Caenorhabditis elegans: one gene and its partners. The protein of the gene in region 1 purifies or fractionates together with the protein of each later gene. This does not show direct contact. Each region holds a gene or a part of one and is shown in the gene's direction. Other genes may lie near its edges.

The links.
Region 2: the proteins of hrg-11.3 (region 1) and copa-1 fractionate together in Caenorhabditis elegans (co-fractionation; one large-scale study listed by BioGRID). This does not show direct contact.
Region 3: the proteins of hrg-11.3 (region 1) and copb-2 fractionate together in Caenorhabditis elegans (co-fractionation; one large-scale study listed by BioGRID). This does not show direct contact.
Region 4: the proteins of hrg-11.3 (region 1) and nspg-10 fractionate together in Caenorhabditis elegans (co-fractionation; one large-scale study listed by BioGRID). This does not show direct contact.

What each region holds. Positions count from the first base shown.
Region 1 is NC_003284.9:11,495,911-11,502,563, reverse strand, and holds the start of hrg-11.3 (C-type LECtin), read left to right. Parts: upstream 1-2,564; 5' UTR 2,565-2,714; coding exon 2,715-2,775; intron 2,776-2,821; coding exon 2,822-3,056; intron 3,057-3,107; coding exon 3,108-3,351; intron 3,352-4,100; coding exon 4,101-4,233; intron 4,234-4,278; coding exon 4,279-4,348; intron 4,349-4,455; coding exon 4,456-4,525; intron 4,526-4,568; coding exon 4,569-4,629; intron 4,630-4,767; coding exon 4,768-4,998; intron 4,999-5,045; coding exon 5,046-5,473; intron 5,474-5,518; coding exon 5,519-5,650; intron 5,651-5,695; coding exon 5,696-5,974; intron 5,975-6,057; coding exon 6,058-6,457; intron 6,458-6,548; coding exon 6,549-6,651; intron 6,652-6,653. Other genes in the region: F29G6.1 (Kazal-like domain-containing protein), read right to left, coding at 12-102.
Region 2 is NC_003279.8:2,893,935-2,903,732, reverse strand, and holds copa-1 (Coatomer subunit alpha), read left to right. Parts: upstream 1-2,872; 5' UTR 2,873-2,931; coding exon 2,932-2,977; intron 2,978-3,029; coding exon 3,030-4,035; intron 4,036-4,881; coding exon 4,882-6,083; intron 6,084-6,611; coding exon 6,612-6,919; intron 6,920-6,972; coding exon 6,973-7,831; intron 7,832-7,893; coding exon 7,894-8,171; 3' UTR 8,172-8,404; downstream 8,405-9,798. Other genes in the region: pph-7 (Tyrosine-protein phosphatase), read right to left, coding at 83-98; gst-43 (maleylacetoacetate isomerase), read right to left, coding at 759-879, 933-1,069, 1,272-1,352, 1,399-1,578, 2,226-2,290, 2,332-2,392.
Region 3 is NC_003282.8:9,456,706-9,465,066, forward strand, and holds copb-2 (putative coatomer subunit beta'), read left to right. Parts: upstream 1-3,025; 5' UTR 3,026-3,031; coding exon 3,032-3,193; intron 3,194-3,262; coding exon 3,263-3,751; intron 3,752-3,796; coding exon 3,797-3,930; intron 3,931-3,979; coding exon 3,980-4,212; intron 4,213-4,324; coding exon 4,325-4,640; intron 4,641-4,687; coding exon 4,688-5,039; intron 5,040-5,094; coding exon 5,095-5,336; intron 5,337-5,383; coding exon 5,384-6,221; intron 6,222-6,293; coding exon 6,294-6,434; intron 6,435-6,506; coding exon 6,507-6,602; 3' UTR 6,603-7,315; downstream 7,316-8,361. Other genes in the region: cutl-17 (PAN domain protein), read right to left, coding at 27-163, 588-633; F38E11.6 (Adenylate kinase), read right to left, coding at 7,609-7,638, 8,061-8,169, 8,218-8,318. UniProt on the Caenorhabditis elegans protein: The coatomer is a cytosolic protein complex that binds to dilysine motifs and reversibly associates with Golgi non-clathrin-coated vesicles, which further mediate biosynthetic protein transport from the ER, via the Golgi up to the trans Golgi network.
Region 4 is NC_003282.8:4,602,621-4,609,504, forward strand, and holds nspg-10 (uncharacterized protein), read left to right. Parts: upstream 1-3,165; 5' UTR 3,166-3,269; coding exon 3,270-3,294; intron 3,295-3,346; coding exon 3,347-3,446; intron 3,447-4,212; coding exon 4,213-4,311; intron 4,312-4,360; coding exon 4,361-4,518; intron 4,519-4,569; coding exon 4,570-4,766; intron 4,767-4,813; coding exon 4,814-4,901; intron 4,902-5,281; coding exon 5,282-5,347; intron 5,348-5,402; coding exon 5,403-5,470; 3' UTR 5,471-5,597; downstream 5,598-6,884. Other genes in the region: F19C7.2 (Serine protease K12H4.7), read left to right, coding at 42-103; F19C7.4 (Serine protease K12H4.7), read left to right, coding at 487-699, 916-1,499, 1,726-1,834, 1,884-1,979, 2,024-2,135, 2,187-2,289, 2,347-2,693, 2,930-2,994; col-110 (Nematode cuticle collagen N-terminal domain-containing protein), read right to left, coding at 5,674-5,734, 5,850-6,426, 6,478-6,598, 6,883-6,884.

The sequences.
Region 1 (6,653 bases):
ATTATGTATACCTTTTTGATTCTCTTCTTCTTCACACCTGCTATCAATAACAATTATTAGGAGAAATAAGATAGAAAGAAACACGTTTCTACGGATAAGCATGCTGGTTGGCGGTGTTCCACATGAAGACGATTGAGGGAGATGATCAGTGATTAAGAACCCAATGGGATAAATCACAAAAACAGATGTGTGAAACCGTATGGAAGTACTTCTTAAGACACGGAAGGATTCCGTAGACTTTGCAAACAAGGGGTAACGTCAAATGCGGGCGCCGTCACTGGAGGCCGTCAACTTGCGAAAAGGCAAGTTCTCTTTACTCATCGTCAGTAACTCCTCCCATCATTTTTTTTTGGTCTTACGTCGAGAAAATGAGAGGTTGACGGGTGCGTAAAAGGGAAAGGATAGCAACGAGCTTTAATTGAAAGATCGAACAGCTGATTCGATGGGATTACACTAGCTACGGAAATTTTGAAAAGTGACACTTAAGATGATAATTTGTTAGTTGAACTTGCTACAGATCCATATCAGCTTCCGTTGCGGTGTAAGTGTGATAACGATGCGAATTTAATGAAACAACTTGATGCCCATTGTAAATGTGTAAAAATATTATGTGTGGTCTCAACAAGCTTTGCAAAGTTGTTCAGAAAATCAAAAACTGATAATCACTATGATATCAGCATTGCTATGCTTTATTGGAAGCATAGGTACTTTTGGGCTCAACTAAGGTGAAGTAGCGTCAGTAGAGAAGTTATCGAAGCTTACTACAATGGTGTTAAAATTAGAAAATATTATAGTAAAAGTTCTCAAAAGCGTTTAAAACATTGTTTTTTTGTAGTCGAAAAGCGACGCAAACACGTTTTTGACTGAAAATATTTTAAAAATGTGGAAAAAACAATTGGAAATGATTTTGTTCACATTTCTAAACCATTTATGTTTAAACACTGTGGGGGACTGTGCTTTTCTTTTTACAAAGGTTGGTACAAACTCATTCTTTGTCGTTTTTGTCTGTTAATATAAACATTTCAAAATGATTTGACCAGTTTTAGTACGATATTCGATACTTTCGGCTCTACAGGAGTAGTTTTAGCCAAAAATCCAATTTTTCAATCATTTGTTATGCTTGTTACGCTATTACCGTATTTCCTCTATTAGTCTTGCACCCCTATGTGACGATTGAAAATTATTTTCGCATGCAAGACTAATAGAGGAAATACGGTATGTTATTCAAGAGTTCAAAACTATTTTAATCGGAAGATTAGTTTAAAGAAACGAGCAACTGTATTCAGTACAGTTTAAGTGCAATCTTCAAAACAGTTCATTAACGTTCAGTTAAGTTAAGTTCATTGAGTTCCGGAACATAATCCTCGTTATCATAGTAAGATTTAAATTTTCTTTTACTCATCTCAATAGTTTCACAGACGACACTCACTTGACCTGATGAAATCACTATTACTGATTCAGAAATAATTGAAAAATTGCATTTGCAGATATTTAGTGCCAGCAGTAATGTAATCATTTTCGAACATGGGTGTGTTCATATGTAGTTGAAGGTACACAAATTATATCTTATAAACAAAGATATTTGATTCTTTCCATGGTGCGGTTGATGTTAGTCGGCCTGAGCGGAAAATATTTAGTTTTAGCCAAATAATTTTTAAATATTTTTAGACAATGTTTCTAATAAGCATTTTTTTACAAAATTGTTTCAAAACATTGCTACAAAATTTGACTTGAGTTCCATTTTGGGTGTGTACTCCTTACGTAAATTAATTTGTTGGCAATTTTAAATTGATAGGTCTGATAAGAAATTGAATCATATCAGGAAACTACATATTTCCAACGAGTCGGTATGCGATCAAAAGCGAACTATCATAATTGCACAAACATATCGAGGAACACTGTGATTATGCAAATTTTAGTATAAAACACAAAGAAATATAAAACAATCTTTTTCATAACATTCTTTCTCTGCCCTACACTATTTAATACTTTCTACAAAATTTTTGAAATTTATAAAAAAACAACTACAATCTGTTCAAAAGTCAATTAAAATGCTACGATCTCAAAAAATCATCTAAGTATGCACGAAGAGCGTTTAGAATTATTACAACCAAGTTTATATATTAACCGAATTAGTACAACATATTAACCACATAGCATTCGTTTTGATACATATCCATGACAAATCTGCATTTCAGGGTTTCCGAGATCGATCTGATTACTTGAAAACTGAACCGTTTTTAAAATCACAAGCAACAAGTAAACATTCCCAACAATGATAATAGTCTAATTCAAAGTAAAACGTAAAGCCAGTAGACCGAACTACACTGTTGTTATTTCCAAACAGACTTAATGTTTTAAGCCAAATATTTTCATTCATTTCATTGTTGTAAATGTTGCTTTGAGCAATAATATCTAAAGGTGAAGTAAATTCCCACGTTTACTTTTGCTCATAATCTTTATTCATTCGAATAATATTCAGAATTATCAAAAAACCATCGTTATACACGCCTGTCGTCGTGGTGCCATGTGCAATCACTTGATAACCATATTAGTTCTTGAAGGCAAAAATGTGGCAGTCGGCAAAACGTCGGGGCAAATAGCAAAATTGGCTTATCAAACAATAAAAAATTTTCACGGTCTTACATATGCGATAGGGCAAGACAAGCCCTTCCAGTTTCAGTCCGCTGCTGCTCGAGTCGCCACTGCACACGATGCGGCTCCTACTGGCTTTATTTTTATTAGTAACAGCAGTTGCAGCTGCTCCAAATCTTGGTAACTCAAACTAAATCTATTTTACAAAAACAACTTTTTTTTTCAGATTCCGTATTTCATCACCTACCAAATTATTATCCCGAACTAACAAATACTGATGCTTTCCATATTCGAGCAAAACGTGCGATTTTTGCCGTTCTTGGAATTGCCAACCAATGCGAAAATGGATGGACTGGTGATGGATGCAAAAACCCAATCTGTACTGATCCAAAACCTGCACCAACATCTGGACAGACTTCCAGTATTGAGATTATGTTTATCCAAGGAAGCTGTGGTGGACCGTAAGCATGAGTTTTAATTTAGTTGCTTCAAAACGATTTTCTTTTTTCAAGATTTTACATCCCTGTCGATTCAACAGGCAACAAGCCTACCCAAACCATTCAAATCCATGTTTCGGCTGCTGGAATTCCATATGTGAATATGACCGATGCAAAGGGAGTTGTATTTTCTCCATCTTACTCCGTAGCCGACGATAGCTATTCTCTGAATGTCTACGCCGATCTTCCATCTGGTGGATATACCTTGTCCATTGATAACCAGGGTGTTCCAACAAGCGAATGCATCATTGAAGTTAATGTAAGTGAGATTTTGTAGTCTGCCTTCTAGTTACATTTCGCACATTTTCATTCAAAATGTTCAACATTTGCCATCGTAACAAGATGAAAAACTGATAACCATGAGTTGCCTCCCTACATTTTTACGAGTTCGGCATATCAAAATGGGCGCGCTAAAAATGAATTAAAACGTGGAATTGGAAATAAAATGGCGCGTTATAAAAATACTGTATACCATGTCGTTATTAAAGATCAAATCAATGAATAATATAGTGAATTCATCAAAAGAACCTTACCTAAAGTTACATAATTTCTGAAATTCTTAAAACCTGGAATTGTCTACTAAAATTAAGAACAAATTATATTTAAAACAACGATGTTCCATACTGCCCAAATGAATTGTATATGTCATACATACTAACTTATATTTTGCTTCAAGTGCACCGGGAAGTTTTCAAAAGTTCAGACATTGATAAGGAATGTCATTATTCAGATTATTTTATGAAATGTAGTTTTCCTAGCAAAAAAAAACGTTTTTATAAAAATAAAATAAAACAAAGGTTTTTTATCTCTGATTAACCATCTTTGATTAACCAACAACCAATTTTTAATTTTGCAATTATAAATTTTGTGCCAGCAGCCATTTATTTATAAAAACTGCGAGAGTTCCAACATATAAAGCATTATATAAAGCATATTTAATTTATAGTTTTCAATTTTAAGTAATTTCCATATAAATTTCAATACAAAAGCACATGAAGTCAGTTTTAGGGTGACCCCAGCGGATTGAAAGCTGTGGATGGATTTGTGTATTCTCCACAGTCAGACGACCCTCCATATGGTGAATCTGCAATCAACGGTGTTCCGATGTATATGGCCGCTCACGTTGACAATTCACCAGCTCGTTAGTTTCGTTTTTTAAATATAAAACAAAATCTTTATATTGCAGAAGTTCAATCTATCACCATTCGCCAAGGCAATTCTTTGGCTCCAGTCTACAGAGCAGCTCTCACAAGAAGGTAGGGAACTGTATTTGTGGAAATAATTAGCATTTAGACTTGATTTATCTCCTGAAAACATTAACACCCCTATAAAAGCAAATCACTTTCCCCATTCATTTTTTCAGGTATCAGTGCGGGTATGAATACTATGCAGGACAGTGGCAATGTCAACTTGGAAATGCCTACTTCTATCATGTACTACGAAGTTCAAATTAAAATGTTTAATGTTTTCTTTCAGATTGATGGAGTTGACGCCAACGGATTTAACTTCAGAAGAACCGGAAGATTCTCATGCATGCGTAAGTCAACAACGCTTTTGTTATTTGAATGATTAGTTTTCTATAAGCTGAAAGTGTCATGAGTTTATTGAGCTCAGGCGTTCAAGAATTATTAGTTTCATAACTGTTAACTACAAATTGCAATCAGTCTTTTTTCAGAACTTCTCACATCACCAGCTCCTCCAACAACGACCCAAGCTCCGGTGACAACTTGTTTCAACAATGGAACACTCCTCAATGTTGCTAACCAAGGCCAAACATGCTTCTGCTCTGAGCTGTTTAATGGAAAACAATGTGAAAAAGTTAACTGTATGAACGCCGGATTCCCAGATCCAGACGGTAATCTATGCGAATGTGCTGCTGGATACCATGGAACAAACTGTCAAGATGGTATGTTAAGTTTCAGTTATATTTATATATTAAATATATCTTTCAAGTTACCTGTCCACTGAACTGGGAACAATATCTTACCAACTACAAGACATTGGTTGTTATCATTCGAAGCACCGTTTCGATGAATCAAAACCTAAATGCGATCTCCAGTGCTATCTACAAAGAACTAACAAGTAACGACGGCAACAACTACGAAGTATACAAAGGATTTGTCATTGTTAAATTTGCAAACGGTGCTTACACCAACACCTACTACCCAGCATTTGACCAAAATGCTTTCCTGGCTGCCATCAATCAAGCTTCAACTGCTGTTGGACAATGTTCGGATGCTACTTTTGATGCGATCGGCTCTATTTTTAACGAAGTCGCTCTCTATCAAAAATCTCCAGTCTATTTGTTCACTGACGCAACTGCTAGTGATGTCGAGAAATGGCAAACCGTCATTGAGCAAAACACTCGCATGAAGTTCCCGGTACTACATAACTGATGTTAACATAAGTAGAAGTTGCAATTTCAGATATACACTCACTACTTTGTTCAATCTAATTGTGCATTTGATGAAATGAGCCAAGGTTTCCAAGCCATCGAATACGCTTCTTACTACAGTGGAGGACTTATCCTGAGACCATCTGTTGACTCTTTGCAACAAGTTAGTTTACAATTTATCCTACAACACCATATTTTGCTTGTTCAGATTTTCCAATACGTGATCAAAGCAACAGCCTACAAAATGAACTCGGTACTTATTGACGATCTTGCTAGCTGCGCCACTCCAACGAGAGTTTTCTTCGTTGACACTTCAACCACTGAGCTCATGATTCTCGCTGTCGGACAACAGTTAACAGTTTCTGTCACAGATCCAAATGGAAATACCAATACTCTTCTGAAGATTGTCGACAGTGGAACTACTCAACTGTATGAGATTTCAAACCCCGTTGTTGGTGAGCACTTGGTCACAGTTGTGTCAAATGTGGTAAGTACTATTGAAATGAATAATTCAGTTTTTTTGCTCACTACATAGCTTAACTGAAAGAATTGAAATGTTTTTGTTTGCAGCAAAATACTCCGTGCTCGTACCGTGTTCAAGCCCGCTCAGAATATGATCTTTTCATTGGAACTAGCGTCGGAGTCAATGATGATGCTAGTGACTCGGAACCAGTCGTCGGACAATCTTCTCACATTGTTGCTCAACTAACAGGACTTAAGGGCAAAGTAGCCGATCCATTCCGTCTTTTCTCTGAAATTTCCATTACATCTAATGTAAATGTGGACAACAAATACCAAAAACCAATGTACTACTCCAGTGGAAAATACAGAGACGGATGTGGTTTCCATATGTATTTTGGAGCTGCCGACTTCTGTGATTTCATGTCTCAACCATTCTATGCTACTGTCTATGCTGACGATGGAAAGGGATTCACCATCCAAAGAACTACCACTGGTTTCTGCTCTGGAAGTAAGCCTTCAAAAATTGTATTTATCACTTTTTTGGCGCAATAGCTAACTTTTTTGTCGGAAACTGAGTAAGAAACGTGTACATATTTCAGCGCCAACGACACCGTATCCACCAAACTCTTGTCAGAACGGCGGAGTGACCGATCCAACAAATAACGCTACTTGCATCTGTCCACCAGGTTTTTACGGACAATAGT
Region 2 (9,798 bases), on another chromosome or scaffold:
TCGAAACGCCTGCCGCAGACGAGAGGCAGGCCCTGAAAGTGCGCCTACCTCCCATGGAAGCTGCTCAACAGTAAACTCTTACCTGTCTTGTGATACATTTTACTAGAATCCCAATTGATTTTTTTGAAGTCGGATTGTGAAATAACGGTGAAATGCCGAGAAATCGAGTTTATATACGAAAAAAAAACTAGAGAGGAGGGGGGGGGGGGGAGGTTTCGGGGTTACGTGAAATTTGAAAAATTGCCGGAATTGAAAATTTCCGGCAAACTGACATATTCGGAATTGAAAATTTCCGGCAAATTCGGCAAATTGCCGGAATTGAAAATTTCCGGCAAACTGGCTAATTTCCGGAATTGAAAATTTCCGGCAAATTCGGAAAATTTTCGGAATTGAAAATTTCCGGCAAATTCGGAAAATTGCCGGAATTGAAAATTTCCGGCAAATTCGGAAAATTGCCGGAATTGAAAATTTCCGGCAAATTCGGAAAATTGCCGGAATTGAAAATTTTCGGCAAATTCGGAAAATTGCCGAAATTGAAAATTTCCGGCAAATCGGCAAATTGTCAAAATTCAAAATTTCTGGCAAATTTTGGAAAATTGCCGGAATTGAAAATTTCCGGCAAACCGACAACTTATCGAAATAAAAAATTTCCGGCAAACCGGCAATTTGCTGAACGGCTATCTGAATTTCAGGCAATTTCCAAATTTTTAAATCTTAAACATATAGTCTCAATTAAAAACTTTATTCATTGTTCAATATTAGTTTTTATTTGGAGCATCTGGCTGATTATCTGGATGAGCCAATTTGAATCTAAAATCTTCCGCCAGAATCTCATTAATTCGAGTAATAGTTGGATATTTGGACATGTCGACTTTGTAGCTGGAAATTTCAAAATTTTTAATTTAAAAATTCAAAATTTTGAAATAACCTACATTTTCGCATTATAAATTATCGATGGCAAGTTGATATCAGCAATTGTAAGCTGATCTCCAACACAATATTTCCCAGAATGCTTCTTCAAAAGTTCTTCGAGAGCTAAGAATCCCTTGTTCACAAAGTGATTGCACCACTGAAATACATTTTGAACTATCGGGAAACGCCTCTTGGAACCTATTGCGGTTTGATCTACAAAAAATGCGGAAATTTTTTTCACCGATAAAATGTGACGTCAGCAGCACGTTCTAGAAGTCTGCGTCTCTTCTCCCGCATTTTTTGTAGATCTAGGTAGATCAACCCGACATGGGACACTCTGACACCACGTGAGAACCCACAAAGTCACCGTATCCCGGCTCCTTTTCATTGAGCATTTTGTGGATATTGATTGCTTGAAGTGGCTGAATACTTGCGACTATCTGAAAAGAGCTCGCTTAGAGTTGTTAAAGAATGTTAAAAGCTCACATGAAGTGCGATAGCTCTTGAATACGATCTCTTATCCAATTCTTTTGGAAGGAACGGAGGATCCGGATAGGCTTCATCCAAATATTCGATTATTGCCAAGCTTTCTGTCAGTGATAAGCCATTTATCACTAAAGTTGGAACTTTTTTCGCTGGGTTGTGCTTGACGAACTCTGCATTGTTCTGAAATACAGCTATATTTCTATGGAAGTGGGAGTAGGGCAGGGGTGGATGGCAAATTGCCGGTTTGCCGGAAATTTTCAATTCCGGCAATTTACCGATTTACCGTTTGCCGAATTTTACCGATTAAAATTGAAATTCTGAAATTTCCAGAAAAAAATGTGCAAAACCACAAGTTGCCGAAAGTTTTCGGCAAATTGTGTTTTTCCGGCAAATCAGCGATTTGCCGTTCTGCCGAATTTTGCCAGAAATTTTCAATTCCGGCAATTTTCCAATTTACCGGAAATTTTCAATTCTAGCAATTTGCTGGAAATTTCAATTCAGGCAATATGCCGAATTTGCCGAAAATTTTCAATTCCGGCAATTTTCCAATTTGCCCGAAAATTTTGATTTTCATTAAATTTTCGATTTGCCGGAAATTGTAATTTTGGGCAAATTGCCGATTTACCGTTGCCAAAAGTTTTCGACAAATTGTGGTTTTTTCCGGCAAATCGGCAATTTGCCGCTAGGCCGAATTTTGCCGGAAATTTAAATTTCGGCACTTTGCCGATTTGCCGAAAATTTTCAATCCCGGCAATTTGCCGCTCTGGCGAATTTTGCCGGAAATTTTCAATTCCGGCAATTTTCCAATTTGCCGGAAATTTTCTAACCTTGGATTCTTCAGAAAATAAGTCGATTGGCCGGTATTCGTAGTCGATATTTTTCAGAGCAAGTGCTATAAATCAGTATTTTATAGAATTTCCAAGCTAAAATTACCGATGCGAACTCTCCAGGCACACGACGAACGCCAATATGAATATAAAATCGGTTTTGCCATGGAGTTAGAAGCTTCTAAAGAAGAAAATTGAAATATTTAAGCAATAAATGACATTTTGAGAAGAAATTAAATATGAACACGTGGGAAAAATCTTCAAAAACCCTAATTTTTCAGTTAAAAACTACTTTCTCCGAATAAAACCTCCATTTTCCTCAATTTTCAGCACTTTTTTATGTCAATTCCCACTTAAAATTCCCCTTTAACGGTCATTTTTCCTAAACTGTGCAGTTTCGCGTCGCCGTGTTTGCACACATTCCGTTTGATGCGCAGGTTTCCACGTTGTCCTCTTTTCTCCATTTTCTGTCTCTTTTAACGTGGATTTACCGATTTTTATCTCTGAAATTCTTAATTTTTATGGTATTTTTCGTAGTTTCTTTATCAATTTAATCGAAATTCCAAGTTTTTTCATTGATTTTTTGCATTTTTGTCTGTTTTTTTTAAACATTCTTATATATCCACGTGTCATTTCCATAATTTCAGAACCTTCATTCACGCCGAGGAGCAGTTTTTGACTGGTTACCGACTATAAATCGGATATCATGTCGCTCCTTATCAAATTTGAATCAAAATCCGCTAGGGTTAAAGGTAAATATTTTGGTTTTTGGCATTATTTTTCAATAATTTCCCAATTTTCCAGGAATTTCGTTCCACCCAACTCGGCCATGGGTGCTCACATCGCTGCACAGTGGAGTCATTCAACTCTGGGACTACCGAATGTGCGTTCTTCTCGAGAAGTTCGACGAGCACGATGGTCCAGTGAGAGGAATTTGCTTCCATCATGATCAGCCGATCTTTGTGTCTGGAGGAGATGATTATAAGATTAAAGTGTGGAATTACAAGCAGAAACGCTGTATTTTCACACTTCTCGGACATTTGGATTATATTCGTACCACTTTCTTCCATCATAAGTATCCATGGATCATTTCTGCGTCCGACGATCAAACGGTTCGGATTTGGAATTGGCAGAGCCGAAACTCGATCGCCATCCTCACCGGACACAATCACTACGTCATGTGTGCTCAATTCCACCCAACCGAAGATCTTGTGGCTTCTGCCTCCTTGGATCAGACCGTCCGTGTTTGGGATATTTCTGGACTTCGGAAGAAGCAAATGCCTGGTGGAGGTGCTCCAAGCCGGCCAACCGGAGGGCAACAAGCTGAGCTATTCGGGCAACCTGATGCAGTTGTGAAGCATGTGCTAGAGGGACACGATCGTGGAGTCAACTGGGTTGCATTCCATCATACCAATCCAATTCTAGTCTCGGGATCCGATGATCGTCAAGTCAAGATTTGGCGTTACAATGAGACGAAAGCCTGGGAGCTCGACTCGTGCCGTGGACACTACAATAACGTCTCATCTGTGATCTTCCATCCAAATGCTGACTTGATTCTTTCCAACTCGGAGGATAAGTCGATTCGTGTGTGGGATATGCAGAAGCGTACCAGTCTTCACGTTTTCCGACATGAAAATGAGCGTTTCTGGGTTTTGGCCGCCCATCCAAGCTTGAACATGTTCGCCGCAGGACATGACAATGGAATGGTCGTTTTTAAAATTCAAAGAGAACGCCCGGCTTATTGTGTCAGTGATAATTTGGTTTTCTATGTGAAGGGACAACAAATTCGCAAGCTCGATTTGACAACCAAGTGAGTAGTTTGATGCCAAGAAAAGTGTGCCGCAAAATGCATTTTTGCACAGAATTAGCGTTTTTTTTTTGCGAAAAAAAGCGTGCGAGAGTTGCGAAAATGCATTTTCCGGCGCACTGAATCATGTTTTTGTGGAGTCTCAGTAGTTTTTAAATGAAAAACTTTAAATGTGCCCCATTAAGCGAATTTCGTATTTAGAGCCTCCAAAAAATCGGAAAAAAGGCGTAATTTCAATAGCTAAATTCTCCAACTTCCACTGAAAATAGCAGAGTTTTTTTTGAGATTTATCAAATTTTTAGCTTTTCAAAAAATGTTTTCTGCTTTTTACGAACAAATCTTTTGTTAAACAATGAAAATCGAATTTAAAATGACTAAAATTAACTTTTTCCGTCCACTGGTTGTGAAATGGGTTGAAATTGAAGAAATCAACGGGATTTTTCTGATTTTCTGAATATTTTTCTATTAGAAATCGGTTTTAAACCATTTTTTTTTACTAAAACCGATTTTTAATAGGAGAATATTTAGAAAATGAGAAAAATCCCGTTGATTTCTTCAATTTCAACCCATTTCACAACCAGTGGACGAAAAAAGTTAATTTTAGTCATTTTAAATTCGATTTTCACTGTTTAACAGAAGGTTTGTTCGTAAAATGCAGGAAAAAAATTTTTAAAGCTAAAAATTTGATAAATCTAAAAAATCTGTTATTTTCAGTACGAAGTTGGAGATCTTAGCTAAATTTAGAGCTTTTCTCCGGAAATTTTGAGGACTCTCACTACAAAATTCGTTATTTTTTGTACATTCAGAGGGGATGTACAAGCAAAAACCCCTCTAAAATCAAATTTTCAGCAAGGATGTTGCTCTGTGCAAGCTCCGTTACCCACAACCATTCATGCAACCATACTACTCTCTTTCCTTCAATCCTGCCGAGGGAACCTTCCTTCTCACAAGCCGTACTCACAATAAGGATCTATGCGCCTTTGAGCTGTACAAAGTTGCCAGTAACTCTGATGGAACCACTGAAGCTGCGTGCGTCAAGAGCACCGGAATCAATGCACTTTGGGTTGCTCGTAATCGTTTTGCAGTTCTTGACAAGGCTCAGAATGTGTCGTTGCGTGATTTGACGAACAAGGAACTTCGCAAACTCGAGAATATCAACACGGCTGTCGACGATATTTTCTATGCCGGAACTGGAATGCTCCTTTTGAGAAATGATGATGGGCTTCAACTGTTTGATGTTCAGCAAAAGATTGTGACTGCTTCAGTGAAAGTGTCGAAAGTTCGTTATGTGATTTGGAGCAAGTCTATGGAATTCGCAGCTCTTCTTTCAAAGCACACGCTGACCTTGGTCAACCGTAAATTGGAGATTCTGTGTACCCAACAGGAGTCGACTCGTGTGAAGAGTGGAGCTTGGGATGATGACTCGGTATTCCTCTACACCACTAGCAATCACATCAAATATGCAATCAATTCTGGAGATTGTGGAATCGTTCGTACTCTGGATCTTCCTCTGTACATTCTGGCTATTCGAGGAAACGTGCTCTACTGCTTGAATCGTGACGCTACACCAGTTGAAGTTCCAATTGATAATTCTGATTACAAGTTTAAGCTTGCTTTGATTAACAAACGAATCGATGAAGTTGTCAACATGGTTCGATCCGCAAATCTCGTCGGTCAATCCATCATTGGATATCTCGAGAAAAAGGGTTACCCAGAGATTGCTCTTCACTTTGTCAAGGATGAGAAGACTCGCTTCGGGTTGGCAATTGAATGTGGAAACCTGGAAATCGCGTTGGAAGCCGCCAAGAAGCTCGACGAGCCAGCAGTCTGGGAGGCTCTCGGAGAGACTGCTCTTCTTCAAGGCAATCATCAAATTGTTGAGATGAGCTATCAACGAACGAAAAACTTTGAGAAGCTCTCGTTTTTGTATTTTGTTACTGGAAATACGGATAAGCTTGTCAAGATGATGAAGATTGCACAGGCTAGAAATGATGCTCACGGACATTTCCAGACAGCTCTCTACACTGGTGATGTTGAGGAGAGAGTTAAAGGTAAAAATGTGCAGCTGGATTTCAGAAGGGGGCAAAAGTCAAAGTTTTATTGATTTTTAGCTCCTCTTTGCGTATTTTTTTCGTGAATTTCTGCAAATTCTAGACGATTTTGAAATTATTGAACCTAAAAATGGTCCAAATCTACCGAATATCGTCATGAGATTTCTCAAAAAAAAATTTGGAAATCTACCAATTTTCAGCTAAAATCTCATATTTTGCCAACTTTTCAGTTTCGCAGCTGACGGAACTTGATTTTTATTCAATTATCGCTATTTAATACGTATTTTGGTCGTTTTAACGAATAAAAGTGTGATAGACGACCAAAATATGTATTAAAAAGTAATAATCAATGACACACTAAAGTTGGCAAAATTTGAGATTTTAGCTGAAAATAGGTTTTTTTCCAAATCTCAAAACCGCCATAACTTTTTTTGTGAGTTTTCAGAAACTTTTCAGGATTTTTCATGACGAAATTCGTTACTTTTTGGGTCATTTTCAACAAAATAAAGTATAAAGTTAATTTTTCAGTGCTCCGAAACTGTGGACAAACTTCTCTGGCCTACCTCGCCGCAGCCACTCATGGATATTCTGCTGAAGCTGAGGAGTTGAAGGCTGAACTCGAGAGTCGTCAGCAACCAATCCCACCAGTTGATCCAAATGCTCGCCTCCTTGTCCCACCACCACCAGTTGCTCGTTTAGAAGAGAATTGGCCACTTCTTGCCTCGGCTCGAGGAACTTTCGATGCACAGCTTCTTGGATTAGGAGGACAATCTGCTCCAACTAATGTTGGCGGTGTGAAGCCTGCTGCTGCTGCCTTTGCTGTTATGGATGATGATGTTAGTTTATTGATTTCTGAGCTATCTGAGCTATAAAATATTAATTTTTGCAGGATGGTGATGTTGGAAATGAAGCATGGGGAGATGATGAGTATCTTGTCGGAGAAGATGGTGAACTTGATGTTGATGAAGGAGAAGGACCAGTTGATGGAGATGAGGAAGGTGGATGGGATGTGGATGATGATCTGGCTCTTCCTGATGTTACCGATGATCAAGGTGGAGATGATGATGAGGAAGTGGTTCCTAACCCAGCTCCAGCTGTCTCATCGGAATGGCCGAATGTTTCTCGTCTTGCTGCTGATCATGTTGCAGCTGGTTCATTCGGAACTGCCATCAAGCTTCTTCATGATACAATTGGAGTCGTTGAAGCAGCACCATTCAAGGATGTATTCGTGAAGGCTTATGCAGCTTCTAGACTCTCACATCGTGGATGGGGAGGACTCGGACCAGCTGGACCAGTGTCCATTCATCCGGTTCGTAATTTCCAGGAGGATAAGAATCATCTTCCAGTCGCTGCGTTCAAACTTTCTCAACTTGCAAAGAAACTGCAAAAGGCTTATCAAATGACGACGAATGGAAAGTTTGGAGATGCTGTCGAGAAACTGCGGGAGATTCTTCTATCTGTTCCACTGATCGTTGTGTCTTCGAAACAAGAAGTCGCCGAAGCGGAGCAGCTCATCACAATCACACGGGAATATCTTGCAGCACTTCTCCTTGAAACTTATCGAAAAGATTTGCCAAAAACGAATTTGGAGGATGCGAAACGCAACGCCGAACTAGCTGCCTACTTTACACACTTTGAGCTTCAACCAATGCATCGTATCCTGACACTGAGATCTGCTATCAATACTTTCTTCAAAATGAAGCAAATGAAGACTTGTGCATCACTTTGCAAACGTCTATTGGAGCTCGGTACGTGCTTGCGTTGTTGATTTTTTTAAATTTTATTTCTAATTCTTAATTTTTTTTTCCAGCTCCAAAACCAGAAGTTGCTGCTCAAATCCGAAAAGTGCTGACTGCCGCCGAGAAGGATAACACTGACGCGCATCAGTTGACCTATGATGAGCATAATCCATTCGTCGTGTGCTCTCGTCAATTTGTGCCTCTTTACCGTGGACGTCCACTCTGTAAATGCCCGTATTGTGGAGCATCGTACTCTGAAGGGCTCGAGGGAGAAGTGTGCAACGTGTGCCAGGTTGCAGAAGTTGGAAAGAATGTTCTTGGGCTCCGAATCTCAACTCTGAAGAGCTAAAAGTTGTGAAATATGATAATTTTTTCGTTTTTTGTGTGATATTAATTATTGTAATTTATTTGCCTTGTTCTTCCACAATTCCCATTGCTTTTGGTCCCTTCATATTATTTTCCCGTTGGGCGGCGGTTCATGTTTTCTATTTAAATTATGTGTTTTTAAAAATTATTTAAACCCCACAGAAAGATTATGATTGCATGCTGGTCTATTTTATTTGAATAAATCATGATTTTTTTACTTTTTTTCATTTATCTTTGGGGTAAGAAAATGTTCTCTAAATCAGTAATTTACATGGAGAAATTTGCTCGAAAAAATTCAAAAAAAATACAGTAAGAAAATTGTCGTAAAGTCTAGGGTTTTGGTATTGCGGACTACGACAAAATGCACACAAACCATTTTGGCACCGGAAAAAGGCAAAAGCCAGGATTTTATCGCGTTTTGGCTCATTTTTCTTGCAAATTTCCATGGAATTCAGTTAACATATACCTAATTATTCAGTTATTTCGAATTAATCAATAATTTTCAGTGAATTTCGCAATTTCTAAGTGGTCCAATGATGTCTGTCCACATATTTCCTTGAAAACTGATTGTTTTATCGGAATTTATTGATTTAAAATAATATATATAATAAAATCTGAATTTTAGAATCATTTTTGACGTGGAAAAGACCCGAAAAATCCAAAAATCACGAATAAACTGAACAATTAAGGTATTAATTTTTGATCCCCCACCCCCAGTTTCTCAGTTTCTCAGCAAAGGATTAAAACAATTGTTCTTCTTCTTTTCCCCCTACAAGAATTTCCTGTGAATTTCAATCGTAAAAATATCGATTTTCTGTTTATTCTTTGGATGAGTCACCGCACTCGCCGATTGTTTAACTAGTGCAGTTCGGCAGTTTTACGTTATTTTTTCACGATTTTTTGGATTCTGATCCTCTAGGTGACTTGAAAATACCGAATTTCATATCGTAATATGACAGAAAAATTTATGGCGGTAAAAAAATGCGGAAAAATTTTCTAATTTTAACGGAAAACTCCAAAAAGCCGTTGGAAAATGATTTTTATTTGATATTGGCATATTTAAATAATTTTTATCCTGTTTTTTAGTGGATTTGGATATTTTAACCCGATAGTTATGTATAACGGCTTAAAAATTGCCAAAATCAGCGAAAAAACGCGAGAAAAATCACTTAAATATGGAAAATAGAACAATAATCAAATAAACCCGATTATCCAAGCCAAAACTGAGTTTTTTTTTTCGCATTTTTGAACTTCAAAATTTCGAAAAAATGGGCTATTTTTAACGAAAATCCCCAATTTTGCAATTTTTTCGTGTCACAGCCGTCGGAAATTGATTTTTATTTGATTTTTGACACATTTGAGTGATTTTATCCTTTTTTTTTCGTGGATTTAGGTACTTTTAGCCGATAGTTACGTATTGCTAAAATACTGGCTTAATAAGTAGCTAAATCGACGAAAAAATATGTTTTAAAAAACCAAAAATGGCAAAATTTTACGATTTTTGCTAAATCTTTTTTTTTTTTGAAATTTTAAATCGTCATAAAATTATTTAGCTAAATTTTTGTTAAACATTTCAGCGAAAAACTCCATTTTTGCCAATTTTTTGTGTC
Region 3 (8,361 bases), on another chromosome or scaffold:
GACTTTAATATATTCTAAAATCTCACCGATAAAGAATTGGAACATGCGTTTGCACACTCATTCAGAGTTACATCTTTCATGACTTTTGTGGAAAATTCCATTAAACGAGTACCCTCAGATCGTAGATATGTAGTAGCATTTGGTGCAGAGCATCGGGATGAAGCTGAAAATATTATAACTTGAACTCTTATTATAAATACTTTTATGTATATTTTGGTTGTATTTTTTCAATAGTTTATACAGTTTGGCTACTAAAAAGCAACTCATTATTGTAATTGGTTATATGTTAATTTGTTAACTTTTTAACTAAGTAATAAAGCTCAAAAAAGTATTGACTAAAGTAAAATTAAAAAGTTGAGCAATGTTTGTCGCCTGCGTAGATTTGTAGACGTTTTTTTTCAACTAATTGAGTTAATTCAAATATTATTAATGCCAATTTCTTCTGAACAGTAATGGTTGCCGGAAGAATGTTCTGAAAGAAGTTCTGAAACCACCTGAGAGCTTGAAAAATATATGTTGTTCTACATATAATGGTTATACCGTAGTTGTTAGATTTCTAAATTATACGTGAATTTTAGGGAACTTACCTTGAAGTATAGGAACCAGAAAACCAAGTAAAGTAATAACAAGCATCAATGTTCAAAAAGTGTGAAAAATTTTCGGAACTGAGGAAACTTGAAGTTAGCAACGTTAGCCGTTTTCTCGGAAGAAAAGGTTGAATGGGAAAGTGTCTTTCTAGTTCGTTTCAATAAATCGGTGACCTGAATATTATTGTATTGTGTGTGTAGTCGTCAATGAGAAGTATCCAGATAGAAGGCAGCTTCTTCTTCGTCATCTTCGTTGACTTCTCTTTTCACTCGATAATTGCTCGCTCGCCTGTCCGGCTAATGAACCCCTCGGAATGAAAGGTAGAAAAAGAGAGAGACTGTGCCAAATGACGAACAGTATCGAAACATGTTTCGGTAATTATATAACCGTCAAAAAGTTGAAAGAAATTCTGAATTGAGAATTTTTAAGCAAGAGAAAAATTCGTTGGGTTTTTTTTTTAATTGCATCAAGGTTGCAACTTAACACACACACAGAGAACAGAACAAGAGACTCGTTGTTCACCTCATAAGTCGTGCACAGAATTAGTAAATACAGGGTGGGCCAAAAGTATGGTAACACGTTTGCAGCTCTATAACTTCACGTGTGGAGGGAGTTATTACATCAATGTGTACAAGTTTTGTTCTCCATAAAATACTGACCAGATTAACGTTTTGAATTTTCAAAATATCCCCATCCGCATTGCTGCAGGCCTTCAGAACTTTTGAGATCACGATCTTTATGGCACGCAAGTCGGCATTCTGCGGGATTTCTACATTTTTCTCGAGGAATCCATCAAGTATCTTACAAGTTTTTATAGTTCAAAGAATGCTCTTGGTCTGGAGATTCTTTAAAAACAAAAATCCAAAAAATTTCTATCGTGGTATTTCTGTACGGACTGTGGCAGTAGTTTAGGTCTTGAATGACACAGTCGCCAGAAAGATGGATGTGAGCGGCGGCACCAGTATTCATTTTAGTACTTTTTGGCACGGTTTGACCTGAATTTTCAGAATTTTTAGAAAAAAATTAGCTCTGCTGATTTTGTGGGTCGTTACGCCTTGTGAAACCAAAAAAACTGAGTAAATTTCGGAAAGTTTAATTCATGAAATATTCAAAGGTTCTTGCTAGGCGCCAGTGTCGACACAGAAAATTTTTATATGCTACAAAAACAATCAAAAACGCTTCTTCATTTCTTTAACTTTCAATTTAACATAAAAATCATACATCTGAAAATTATTGGCGTGCGTGGGAGGTGCGTTTGTGTGGGAAGTGCCGCGTGCCAAAATGCCGTTTTAAAAAGGGTTCGCCAAATTGCCGAGGTGATTAAAATCGCACCTTATTGGGAAACATTACAAATTTTGGGTCAAATTGAAGGAAATTTATTCAGCTATCAGTATTCGATAGAAAAATGTACGTATGACGTGGCAGTCGCGCGAAAATCTCATGTAAAAGAGCGCTTCATGTGTTACCATACTTTTGGCCCACCCTGTATGAACATGGGTTCGTACCATGGAACCACAACGAAAATGACCAAAAGTTCCATATTTTTGAAGTCCCACAGAAAGCTATTTATTTTCTACCAGTTGTTGCATTACGTTTTGATTATTTGTATTTGAGCATTGTGTTGTCAATATTATAAGAATCATACCATTTCCACACACACACACACACACATTTTACATAAATAATTAGCTAAATTTATGTAAATTCTCTTGATAATTTACAAAAAGAACGAGCAAAATCGGTTATTCTTATTATTCCTGACTCGTATCGAGTACTCTTTCTACTATAATATTGCTCTTGGTTTGGACATTGTGGAGAACACAACAATAAGCAAGAAGATTGCCATAATCAGGTAAAACTAAGGCTGCAAAGGGGGCCTCTTCGATTTTAAGATATAACTGAGTTTTTTGAAAAATCTAAAACGTTTAAGGTTGTCCAGAGCAAAATTTGCATAAACATTCAACAACTTCACTATCAGTTTCAAAAAAAGTTGATTTTTCTCGTAATTTTTTTTCATTCATTTTACAACATTTCCTGAATGCAATTTTATTTATAAAATCTGCCACGAAGCAGCCACCGTTCGTAAGAGACACCTCACAAATGTGAGAAACGCAGACAAAAAAGTCAAAGGCACGCCGACTTTCCCGCTGTGGTCTCGATACGATCGGGGCTTTCTGAGTTGGCGATGGATGCGCCTCTACCTTTTGAGTGTTCTATCGTTTCGCCAACGTATCTTTTGATGAATTTTAAGATTTTCTTCTAAAAAAGATTAATTTCGGTTGATTTAAACATCTGAATTCTAAAAATCCAGAATATTATCGATTTTTGAATGTTCTTTCGGTTTTATTTTATTTCTATAAGCTGACTATTTGCAAATCTTCCTCTTCGTGCTCAGCTTAATTTTACATTGAGTTTATTTATTTTAGCTTTTTTTCAGAACAAGATGCCTCTCCGACTTGATGTAAAAAGAAAGCTTCTGGCTCGTTCGGACCGCGTGAAATGTGTCGACTTGCATCCAGTCGAAACATGGCTTCTAGCTGCTCTTTACAATGGAAATGTTCACATCTGGAATTACGAAACACAAACGCTTGTAAAGTCATTTGAAGTAAGCTTTTTTTCAAATTTATGTGCAAACTTCATGAAATTACGAAATAACTGAATCTAAATTTTGCAGGTGTGTGACGTACCAGTTCGTGCAGCGAAGTTCGTTCCAAGAAAGAGCTGGGTTGTCACGGGATCTGACGATATGCATATTAGAGTTTTCAACTACAACACATTGGAACGAGTTCATCAATTCGAAGCACATTCTGATTATCTCCGATCGCTCGTTGTTCATCCAACACTTCCCTACGTCATTTCATCATCCGACGACATGCTTGTTAAAATGTGGGATTGGGATAACAAATGGGCAATGAAACAGTCATTCGAAGGGCATACTCATTATGTCATGCAGATTGCCATCAATCCAAAAGATAATAACACTTTTGCAACTGCTTCTCTTGACAAAACTGTCAAAGTATGGCAGTTCGGATCGAATGTTCCGAATTTCACTTTGGAAGGACACGAGAAAGGAGTCAACTGTGTCGATTACTATCATGGTGGAGAGAAACCATACATTATTTCTGGAGCTGATGACCATCTGGTCAAGATTTGGGATTACCAAGTAAGTTTTTTTTCTCTTTGCATTCATCCAAAATGATATTTTCAGAATAAAACGTGTGTGCAAACGCTCGATGGACATGCGCAAAATGTGTCTTCAGTTTGTTTCCACCCAGAACTGCCATTGATAATCACAGGATCCGAAGACTCCACTGTTAGATTGTGGCATGCAAACACCTACAGGCAAGAACATTAAAGTACGATTTCCACAACAACAATTTAAAATTTTTAGACTGGAAACAACCTTGAATTATGGGTTGGAACGTGTTTGGTGCATCCAAGCTCAAAAAGGAGCCAACACTATTGCCATCGGATACGACGAAGGTTCCGTCACGTTGAAATTAGGCCGAGAAGAACCAGCAGTCAGTATGGATTCGTCTGGAAAGATTTTGTGGGCAAAGCACTCCGAAATTCAGCAAGCTAACCTGAAGACAATCTCAACTGAAGAGTCGGAAGCCATTCAAGGTTTGGAAAACTTTCATTCGACTTTTGTATAGTTCGGCACATGTTTTCTGAAAGTATTAAAAAAAGAGAAATTGTGTTCATTTATTATCACTCTAAGACAGTTCATTTACAGATGGAGAACGTCTGCCGCTTTCTGTAAAAGATCTCGGATCTTCTGAAATCTATCCACAAACCCTTGCTCATTCATCTAATGGACGTTTTGTTGTCGCTTGTGGTGACGGAGAATACATTGTTTATACTGCAATGGCTCTCAGAAACAAGGATTTCGGACAAGGACTCGAGTTTGTCTGGGCTGTTGATCCAAATATGTTTGCTGTCCGTGAATCTGCCACCAATGTGAAGATAAAGAAGAACTTCAAGGATCACAAGTCAATTCGTTCAGATATGGTACTTGAGGGAATTTCTGGTGGACCACTTCTTGCCTTGAGGTTTTTGAACTCTTATCAATTGACTTTTATTTAATTTTTTGTTTCAGATCGAACAACTCTTTGTGCTTCTTTGATTGGGAATCAGCCGTTCTTGTTCGTCGTATCGAAATTACTTCCAAGAGCATCTATTGGAGTGACAACGGAGAGATGGTCGCAATTTGTGGAGATGATTCATTCTACGTTCTCAAGTACAGTGCTGAAGCAGTTGCCAATGCAACAGAAGTGACCGAAGACGGTATTGAAGACGCGTTTGAGGTTATTGGAGAACAGGCAGAAGCTGTGAAGACGGGATTCTGGATCGGGGACTGCTTTATTTTCACCACTGCACTCAATAGAATCAACTATTATGTCGGTGGAGAAATTGTCACTATTGCTCATGTTGATAGACCACTTTATTTGGTGAGATTTTAAAACATGCGTTGTTCTTATCATTTTTAAAACTTAAATATTTTAGTTGGGATACATGGCTAAGGAATCTCGAGTCTATGCCGTCGATAAGGATCTCAACGTGATCTCATACAAACTTCTTCTATCTGTTCTTGAATATCAAACTGCTGTAATGCGCCGTGACTTCGATACTGCTGACAAGGTACTTACTACAATTCCAAAAGAGCAGAGAACTCGTGTTGCTCATTTCCTCGAAAAGCAAGGATTCAAGAAGCAGGCTCTTGCGGTCTCTCAAGACCCTGATCACAAGTAAGACAATTTTCAGCTTTTCAGCAATAATTTTGGAACGTTTTCAGATTCGATCTCTCGGTAGCTCTTGGAGATTTGAAGACTGCCTACGATTTGGCACTGCAAAGCGATTCAGAAGAGAAATGGAAGGCTCTCAGCAACGCCGCCACTCTTAAGTCGGAACTTCTTCTTGCTGGTGAATGTCTTGGAAGAGCTCGCGATTTCGGAGGTCTAATGCTTCTTGCAACGTGTGCCGGATCAGCTCCTCTTCTTCAGAAACTTGCGGATGACTCTGCTGCTGCCGAAAGCCACAATATCAGCTTCCTCAGTAGTTTGCTTCTTGGAGATATTGATGCTTGTCTAGACAAACTTATTTCGACTGGTCGCCTCCCAGAAGCAGCGTTCCTTGCTCGAACACATGCGCCGTCTCGAGTTTCATCTATTCTTGAATTGTGGAAAGCCAAGGCTTCGGGACACAGCGAAAAGAGTAGCAGAAAGATTGGAGAATCTCTTGCCGATCCAGTGAAGTATGAAAACTTGTTCCCTGGATTTACCCAATCACTGAAAGCAGAATCTTTCGTTCGTGAGATCTCCAAGATTCCAGTCCCAGCATCCGTTCGAGTGCCATCAGCTGCTACCCGGAATATTCAAGAGGAATTGGATGAAGCTGTTGCTTCGGGAGCAGTTTCTTTTACTGATGATGGCCAAGCAGTACTTAAGAATGCCCCAAGACAAACCGAGACACAATTGAAAGCTCCACCTCCTCCATCAGTTGCACGTCAACCCTCGCCTGTACGCCAGCCATCCCCTATTCGTGAGCCATCACCGATCCGCGAACCTGAACCTGAAGAAGAGGAAGAACAGGAAGAATTCGATGATGATCAGCAAGAGGTGCATGTTCCAGCTGTACGTTTTGAACAGTTTTTTATTCATATGGAATTTGACTATTCGTTGCTAGAATCACCAATTTATTTTCAGAATCAAGAAAGTGCCGATGCTCATGGAACATCTAAAACTCCTGATGTTGTTCTTGAGACAAGCCGGCCTGATATTGTCCCACCACGGGGGTCCGCCGCTCCAGATTTGGTTTCCGCGTCTTCACAACAATCTGCTCAAGATGTAAGTATTTATTTATAAATGTTTTGAAAATTATATAAACTGCGAAAATTCAATCAATTAATCCAATTACAGTTCCAAGATGATACGCAATGGTCAGATGAAGATTTTGGAGATGCTGAAAATGGAGACCTGAATATGGACGATCTAAATTTAGACGAGGAAGATTGACTGGTAGTCGATCGATCTGCCCAACAAGATCAGAAAGACTGAGTATCAGTGTTATTTTTTTGTGTATGTAATTTAAGCCCCCCCCCCCCCCCCTCCCGTCCTATCAATGTCCCCATTCCATCCGTAATTTCATGCACAATTTTTTGACGAATGATTCAGAGCAGATCGATCGATAGATAATTATTTTATTTTTCATGTTTCACCCCAAAAAGAGGTTTTTTTCTAACCCATCTGGTGTCGGTCACTCTCTAACATTCTTTGGGAAATTGTTAATTAGTATTATGGGAATGTGATAATGTTTTTCTTATCAAATAATTATGTAATTTATAGTGTTTTTGGCGCACTCGTCTTTTTTTGTGATTTTTATTTCTACTGGTCACTCCTGTCGTAAGCTCCCTTTGCCAACTATCCACCCAATTCATCCCTCCCCGTTTTCATATTTCTGCCTTCAAAATCACATAACTTATTGAATTTTTATGTTTATCGCCCTTTCTGATTTATAAGTAAACACTAAGTTATTTCCAGCTTTTTTGTGCGGTGTTTTTTGTATTCTAGGGGTTTTCTTCGAAGTTTTGTTCTATGGCTTTTTCCACTTCTACTATCATCCTCCCCAAAACTTTCGTGTTAACGAAAAAATGATGTAATGAGAGTTTTATTGATTGAAATGATTTTTTTTTCTTTTAACCGTGTTTGAATAAACGGAACAGAAAGTGTATGTGTGGCTGATCAGGAACAATTTGTAGATATTTATGTCTACACAAGTGATAATCAAAAGGCACTTCAAAAAAGGAGCAAAATGATAAGAGGCGTCGAGCCGATTTCAATACGGAAAAAGCGTATTCGGCGACAATCCGATACGATTTTTGGCACGGAATCCCATTTGACGAGGTTGAGCCGAAACTGAACGAGCTTCTCTTTCCATTGGTGGCTCTTCAGTATGTCTTGAAATTCGTTCGGAAGATTCGCTTCGCCGCTTGTTTAATGTTTCCGACTCGACGCCACCCCGTCAACTGTCTCGTGGTTGGCTTTGTTCTTTCTGAAATGATCATGATACTATAACAATATGATATAACATGTCGAAATTTTGTGAGATTTCTTTAAATAACCTAGTTTTTCAGTTCTCATAAATGTTTATTTTTGAATCTACACATTTCACATTTCCTTGATTTTTTACGATCCATCACTCATACGAAAACATGTGATTAATTTTGTCCCGCTTTCTCAAGGGGACTCCAAAAATTGTATATAATACTCAATGTATGCTCCTTTGCACGGAAATCTTTAGTAAAAGGCGAAAGATTTTCACGGTTAAATGCAGAGGAACCAGAGTTGAAGTGTTAGCTCTCCTCTTGAATTAGAATGAATACATGTGCGGACATTCTGCGGGTTTCGCCAACGGTTGTATTACCTATGGAGAAGGGACGGGACAGGCACCATAAAGTGGGAAACAATACTCACTTGTTTAAGATATAGAAGAGATATATTTTGAGCAAAACTTGTTGGAAATGGTTCAAAGAATAGAAATAATTGACGAGACGATGAAATACAATTGACTGCAATTCGAGTTCTGAAATAAAATTATAATAATTAGGGTATTGGATATCATGAGATTAACCTCATTTTCGGAGGTTTGTCGTGTTGCTTATTTTTGATAAATTCATCCAGATAAACCTCTTTCTTCTTTTCCATAAAATTAATCCGTTTGAACTTCTGCAACTTGAAATTAAAATTATTTATATATTTTTTGAAATTAAAAATG
Region 4 (6,884 bases), on another chromosome or scaffold:
TTTGCGTCTTGATAAAAAATCTATTAAATGATTTTTTTCAGGTTCATCAAATATCTCAATCTTCGCAGCCGTCTGTCTTGTCATGTTTAAGATCTTATTCTAAATTTTTTAACACATTCAAAACTAACATTGTTGAAAATTGATAAACTTTTCTTCTTAAATTTTGTAGTACCTAGATTCATTTAAATATAAACTACATATTTTCTTCGTTTGGTATGACTCAATTTTACGATTTTCTGCTCTTATCATCACGACTAACAATCAACGGCGGCTGGCTACTGGAAACTTTTGGCAGTTGGTCAAACTTCAATGTAAGCTTCGTTTTCTTTTTTTTTGAACTGTCTTGAACGTTGTTTCTAAAAATTGGAGCTTTTTTGAGTATAAAAGTTATGTGTTAAACGGCTATAAAAAATTCGTCCACTACGTTGTCCCATAGTTGTCTTTTGACATACAATACCGTTAAAAAATTTCCAATTATTTTCCAGAATGTCTCGGGTCTTATGCCTCGTAGCTATCTCAATTGGGCTCACAATATGCCACGTTTCACCTCCAATGGTCGTTGGAAGGCCTCGAGAAGGTCTATTGACGGGTGATCCCGCAGAAGGACCTACTACAGATGCAAAATATATGATTTACTCGAATATTACACAGAAAGTCGACCATTTCTCAAATGGAACAAATATTGGAGTTTGGCAACAGGTGAGTCCCCCTAGGTGTATGTGAAGCGTGACTTAGAAATATTAAAGCCCCTTTGCGTACTTGAACGAATTTGTTGACTCATCAAATGTATGATTTTTGTTCTGTTATCACTTTTAATCGGACAAAAATTAATAAGAATTTACAAAAACGTTCGGTGGAAAATACCGAAAAAAATCCCAAAGAGGCGTGTCTTGTGTCAAAAAAAAACCTCTTCAGCACTACCAATACAATTGGAAATTTTACAACAAAACAACTGGATACGTCTTCCTGATGATTGGTGGTGAAAGTTCCATCAATAAAACTAATGGAGATAGATGGATCCGTCATGAAGGAGAAACCATGATGAAATGGGTGGCAGAGTTCCAAGCCGCCGCTTTTCAAGTCGAGCACAGATTTTACGGATCTAAAGAATATTCCCCAATTGGAGATCAGACAACAGCGAGCATGAAGCTTTTGACAATTGATCAGGCACTTGCTGATATTAAAGAGTTTATTACTCAAATAAATGCACTTTATTTCAAAGATGACAAACCAATTTGGGTGACATTCGGAGGATCATATCCTGGATCATTGTCTGCTTTCTTTAGAGAAACATATCCAGAAATGACTGCAGGAGCAGTATCATCTTCTTCTGCTGTTCATGTATTTGTAGATTATTATGGATATGCTATTAATACTGAAAAGACTTATAGAACTGTTAGTGACTCCTGTGGAGATGTTATCAAGGTTGCATTCCAAAAGCTTATCACTAAAGCATATAATGGATCGGATAGCCGTGCACTTCTTAAACAACAATTCAAGTGGGTTTCATAAATAAAATATGTACCTAGTTTTTGAGAAAAAATGATTTTAATTTTAATATCATTGAAATCTCTCAAAAATTTGAGATTCTTAGCTTTTGTCAGTTTTGGCAGGATTTAGTTTCTTCCAGAATTATTTTTTTCACAAAAAGGACATACCTTTTTGGGAAGTTCTGAAAATACTATCACGAGCTTAACCAATATGTCCTAAATCCAATTTTTCCAGTCTTTGTGACAGCTTCGACGAGACGAATCTATCAAAAGCCGTGCAATTTTTTTTCCAAAATGTCTATGGATACTTTCAGATAATCAATCAATATACCGGAGATAATAAGGTTCATTATGAACATCTCTTCATTACTTCAAAAAACAACACAATTTTAGAGCAATGCTACACGATCCGGATTGGGAGTTCCTGCAGCTTGTGATCTTCTAAACAACGCGACAATTGGAGATGAGGTCCAGAGAGTTATTGCTGTAGTAGGTGTACCTCTACTAGTAGTGCACCTAATTTTAACTTCCAGATGAATCTTTATGATTCCTGGTTTAAGCCATCAGCGTCTGGATGCCGACCAAATAATTACACAGCTTTTATTCAAGCCTATTCGGACACTACAATGCCCAATGAGAACGTCAGTGAGTTTCCGAGTATTGTAAAGGTACTGTAGAATCGAATTGAAATTCCAGTTGGCACTCGCAGTTGGATCTGGCAGACTTGCACGGAGCTCGGATATTATCAGACTACTGACGGAGGAAATGGTGGAATCTTTGGATCTACAGTTCCACTTGAGTAAGAACAAACAAAACGTTAAAGCCAGGTAGTACTGTATTTTGAAAATATTTTCAGTTTCTTCGCCGATCAATGCATTGATCTCTTTGGGCCGGAATACACCCTGGATAATACTTTCAAACTCGTAGATCAAGTTCGTACTAAATACGGAGGAGCTGGCACATATCGTGGAACCAATGTCGTTTTTCCAAACGGATCCTTCGATCCTTGGAATGGTCTTGGCTACAAATGGAATAACACGAATAATAATGTTGATGCTTGGTTGATCGAAGGAACATCTCATTGTGCTGATATGTATCCAGCAAGCGATTCGGATAAACAATCATTGAAAGATGCGAGAATCCGGATTCATGGTCATTTATCCAGGTGGCTATCAGATGCACAGGCTATTAGGCAGCATTCAGGTAGGTTCATTTAAGAATGCCTCTTATTCAAATGGGTCTTGCCACGAAAAAATTGTATGTTAATAAGAATTATTCAGTTAAGAAAACATTAATCAAGTTTTTTTATTGATAAAATCACAGAAATTCCCACTTTTTCCTCGCGGCAATACCTTTTTTTCAATAAATACGTGGGCCTTTAAGTACGCAGATAACTGCAAACTCAAGATACTACACTTTCAATATTTATAGTTTTTCAGGTTCCACTACAAACTTCTCAATCTTCACCGCCATCTCCATTGTAATTTTCAGCATCCTATTCTAACTTTCAAAATATTATTTTTCAAATTTTATTCTAGAAATAATAAAAGTCCAATTTTGATTACATTTGCAAAATGACGTTGTGTGAACACACCCTGAAATTGCGTTTTCACCTCGCTAATAAGATGAAAGTGGTTGGAAGGGAGGAGTGCCTAATAAAATGAGTTGGATAGTGATAGGGAGCAGGCAAATATTCGCCGACGACGGTTTGCCGTCGTTATCAATCCCCGAGACGACTTTTTCAATTTGCCAGCCCTGCGTCACCATCACCTTTTCGGCATGAAGTTTGCCATCGTTTTTGCTGGTACGTAGATTTTATCGAACAAAGGTTTAAAAATAACTTTGGAGATTTTCAGCTCTTTACGGAGCCGCTGTTGCTCAATTCGGAACTGACAACTGTGTGAGCGCACAGTTTCAGGCTTGTAATAGCAAGTTAGGAGATTTTTGGAGAACTGAGTAAGTTTTACAAACGAAATTGTGACTAATTTTTTGAAAATCATGTGGTGTCAGAGTGTCTCATTTCACCTTGATCTACGTAGATCTACAAAACATGCGGGAGAAGAGACGCAAAGTTCTCAACTTATTTCGCATGGTTGAGAACGTGCTGAGGTCGCATTTTTTGTGCAAAAAATTCCCGTTTTTTTGTAGATCAAACCGTAATGGGACAGCTTGGCACTGCGAAAAAATTGCCGGGTGGAGTCGGTGAACACATATTTTTGAAAAGTATGCAAACACCGCCGCACAATTAAAACAAAATTTACATTTTAAAGTATAATTGATAATTTAAAAATTGTATTTCTATAGAAAATTGAAATTACCATAGACCGACATTTTAAGCTTTTCTACTTACTTTTTCAAATTTTTCACACATTTTTGCATTTAACTCTATGAACAATTTTTTGCTCTTATATACATAGTTATATACATAATAATTTGATCTTAATGTTAATTTTCTCAATCTTATGATGATATTAATATTCAAATTCCAATTGAGTAAAACTTCCACATATAAAATTTGCAAATCTAATGCGATTATGTTCTGATAAGGTCAGTAGCAACAGAACACACCTAGTATAGATATCAATACCTATAATGTGATCCGAGTAGTTCTAGAAGTAGATAAACACTATTATTTTCAGTCTACAAGTATTGATTTTAAAACTAGATACCTGAAATTGACCTTTAAATTGTTTTCACCCCGTCATTCAGAACATATTTTCAGCACCACCTCTGCCTGGAAGGACTTGGCGAGCTTGGACAGAATCACCCAGTCTCTCATCGTCTCCCCATATGTCATTGACTCATGGGTCAATGTTTGCAAGTAAGCCTTTCTTTTTAAAATCTTTAACTTTTCAATTCCGAAATTCCAGCGGTTACGCTGCCTTTTACGGATGCCTTGGACAAGCTCAAATCCGCAATTGCCTCGGAACCGTCGGACTCGTCGGATCTGGACTCGATCTTAACACCGCCTACGCTTACCAAGGATTCTTGGCCGACTGGGATTTCAAGTGTGGAGCCGGATTCTGGAGTAAGCGCCATTGATCTTTTAGCAGATTTTCAAATTTCGAACATTCTTCAGCTATGTACGAGCGTAAGACCCTGACCACTTGCGTCGAGAGCACCTACGTCAACTACCAACAAGAGACATCTGCCGCTATGAATACCTACATGACTGCCACCGCTCAAGACCCAAATGGTGCTTGCAAGTATGCTCAGAATCTCATGAACGCGTGGCAGAACACCTACACCAAGGGACCATGCCGTACAGTTATGCCAGTAAGTCTTAGCAATTGCTGAGCTAGAGAGAAAAAAGCTTTGTTCAGGCTCAAGCCGGATGGTTCGGATGCCAATCGGCTCGTGAATGGTCTAATGCTCAATTCAGACACTGCAAGCATACTACACAATGTGCATGTAAGTTTGAAAAAGTTTGCCTGCCCCAAGGCGACCTAGGATGGTCTGCAAGAGGGCCTAGACCTATCAGCATTGCTACTGATTGTGAGACTTGCATGCAATTGTATTCCTATTCACAAGGTTTCCTACAAGGTCACCTATGTCTGCCTACATGATTGCCTCTTGTTTTCTACAAGAATACCTAGGTTTGCCTAAGTTTACCTAGACAAACCTACAAGGTAATCTAGGCCTATCAACACGGTGACCTAGACCAGCCTACAATTTCACCTAGGTCTACCTACAAAGTTACCTCGGCATACTTACAAAGTTGCCTAAGCACGAGGCGGCCAAGTAGGCAAAATTAAACACCTACCTACCATACAAAACTTCAATATTTCCAGCTCCAACTTCCAACGAGGCTGTGACCAGATTCAACACTGAAACCGGAAAGGTTGAATATGAGACTCGTGAGTTTTATTTTTATTTTTCAGTTTTTTTTATCCCAAGTTCCAAAATTTCTAGTCCCTACCTACCAAATCGTCGACAATAAGGCCGTCGTCCTGAATGAGGCCTCCTGGATTTCCGAGTAATTTTGATTTTTTAATTTTTGAAATAATTATAATTTTCTTTCATTCCTTTTACCTGTCTATCATGAACTTTTTTGGGTTGAATCACACATACACAATCAGTCTGATAAAGTAAACCAATAACTATTTATTGCACTTCACGTTTCACTAAAAAGCACCTTTCAAAGCAAATAAGAGAGACCGACAGAGAAATTGAGAAAAATCAGTTAAGTTCTGCGGCGGCGGGATCCGCTGTCAAAGAAGACTCCTCCGTCGATGGCACAGTACCTGGAATTTTTCGTGTAAATTTATCATTTCTGCAGGCCTAGGTAATCATGCAGGCATTCCTAGGTAACCTTGAAATCAGGTCAAGGTAATCATGTAGGCCGGCCTACCAACTTACTTTGGGCAGATCCCCTCCTCTCCCGGTCTTCCTTGAATTCCAGCTTCTCCGAGATCTCCATCATTTCCATTTTCTCCATCCACTCCATCTTTTCCTGGTGGTCCCGGTGGTCCAACTTGTCCTGGTTTACCATCTCTTCCATCATTTCCAGGTTGTCCGGCTTCTCCTGATTGTCCCTCATCTCCATCATCCCCAGGTGGTCCAACATCGGAAGTATCAACCTCCCCAGGTTCTCCATCAGCTCCGTCTTCTCCCTTTGTCCCTGGAACTCCGTCGATTCCAGTTTTTCCAGGCCTTCCCGGACGTCCATCCAGCCCATCGAATCCACGTCGCCCCTTCAATCCAGGCAATCCATTGTTACCTGGTGACCCACGGGGTCCCGGCTCTCCCGGCTCTCCAGCTGGACAGTCACATGGGCTTGCAAGTGTTGGATCACATGGACCTCTCGGTGGCTCTCCAGGATTTCCTGGTCTTCCAGGTGCTCCAGGAGCTCCGTGGCGTCCATGTCTTCCTGGGGTTCCGCTGGGGCCTGGAGCTCCAGGAATACAACAGCCATCACAGGTTCCTGTGGTTTCATCTGAACAGTTTGAGAGTTTTTAAAAAGTACAGATTCGGGGAAAAAGTAAACCTTCATCAAATCGTCTCCTGGGTTTTGCTCCTCGGATGCTTCTGGTGTGGTTCGAGGTGGCAATCAGTACGGATAGCTCGTCAACACCTTCGTAGATTGTTCTCACAACATCGTTGCATTCCTGAGATGAGAGTTTTAAGTATAGGACCCACACAACCTTTAGGGGCCTCGAGGCGTTATAGAACGAACTGTAGGTGCGTAAACTTTGCAAGAAAGGTCATCTAGGTTTGCCCAAAATCATCTAATATAGAATTTCTAACATAGAATCTGAAATTTCGAATCGCTAAGCTGAAAAGGATTCAGGATCAAGCCGTGACGAATGGGCCTCCCCGCTTGCCACTAACGGCAGCATTGATTTTTCGGAGGCGTTTTCCGGGCCAGAGAAATATAAAAAAGAAAACTCACCA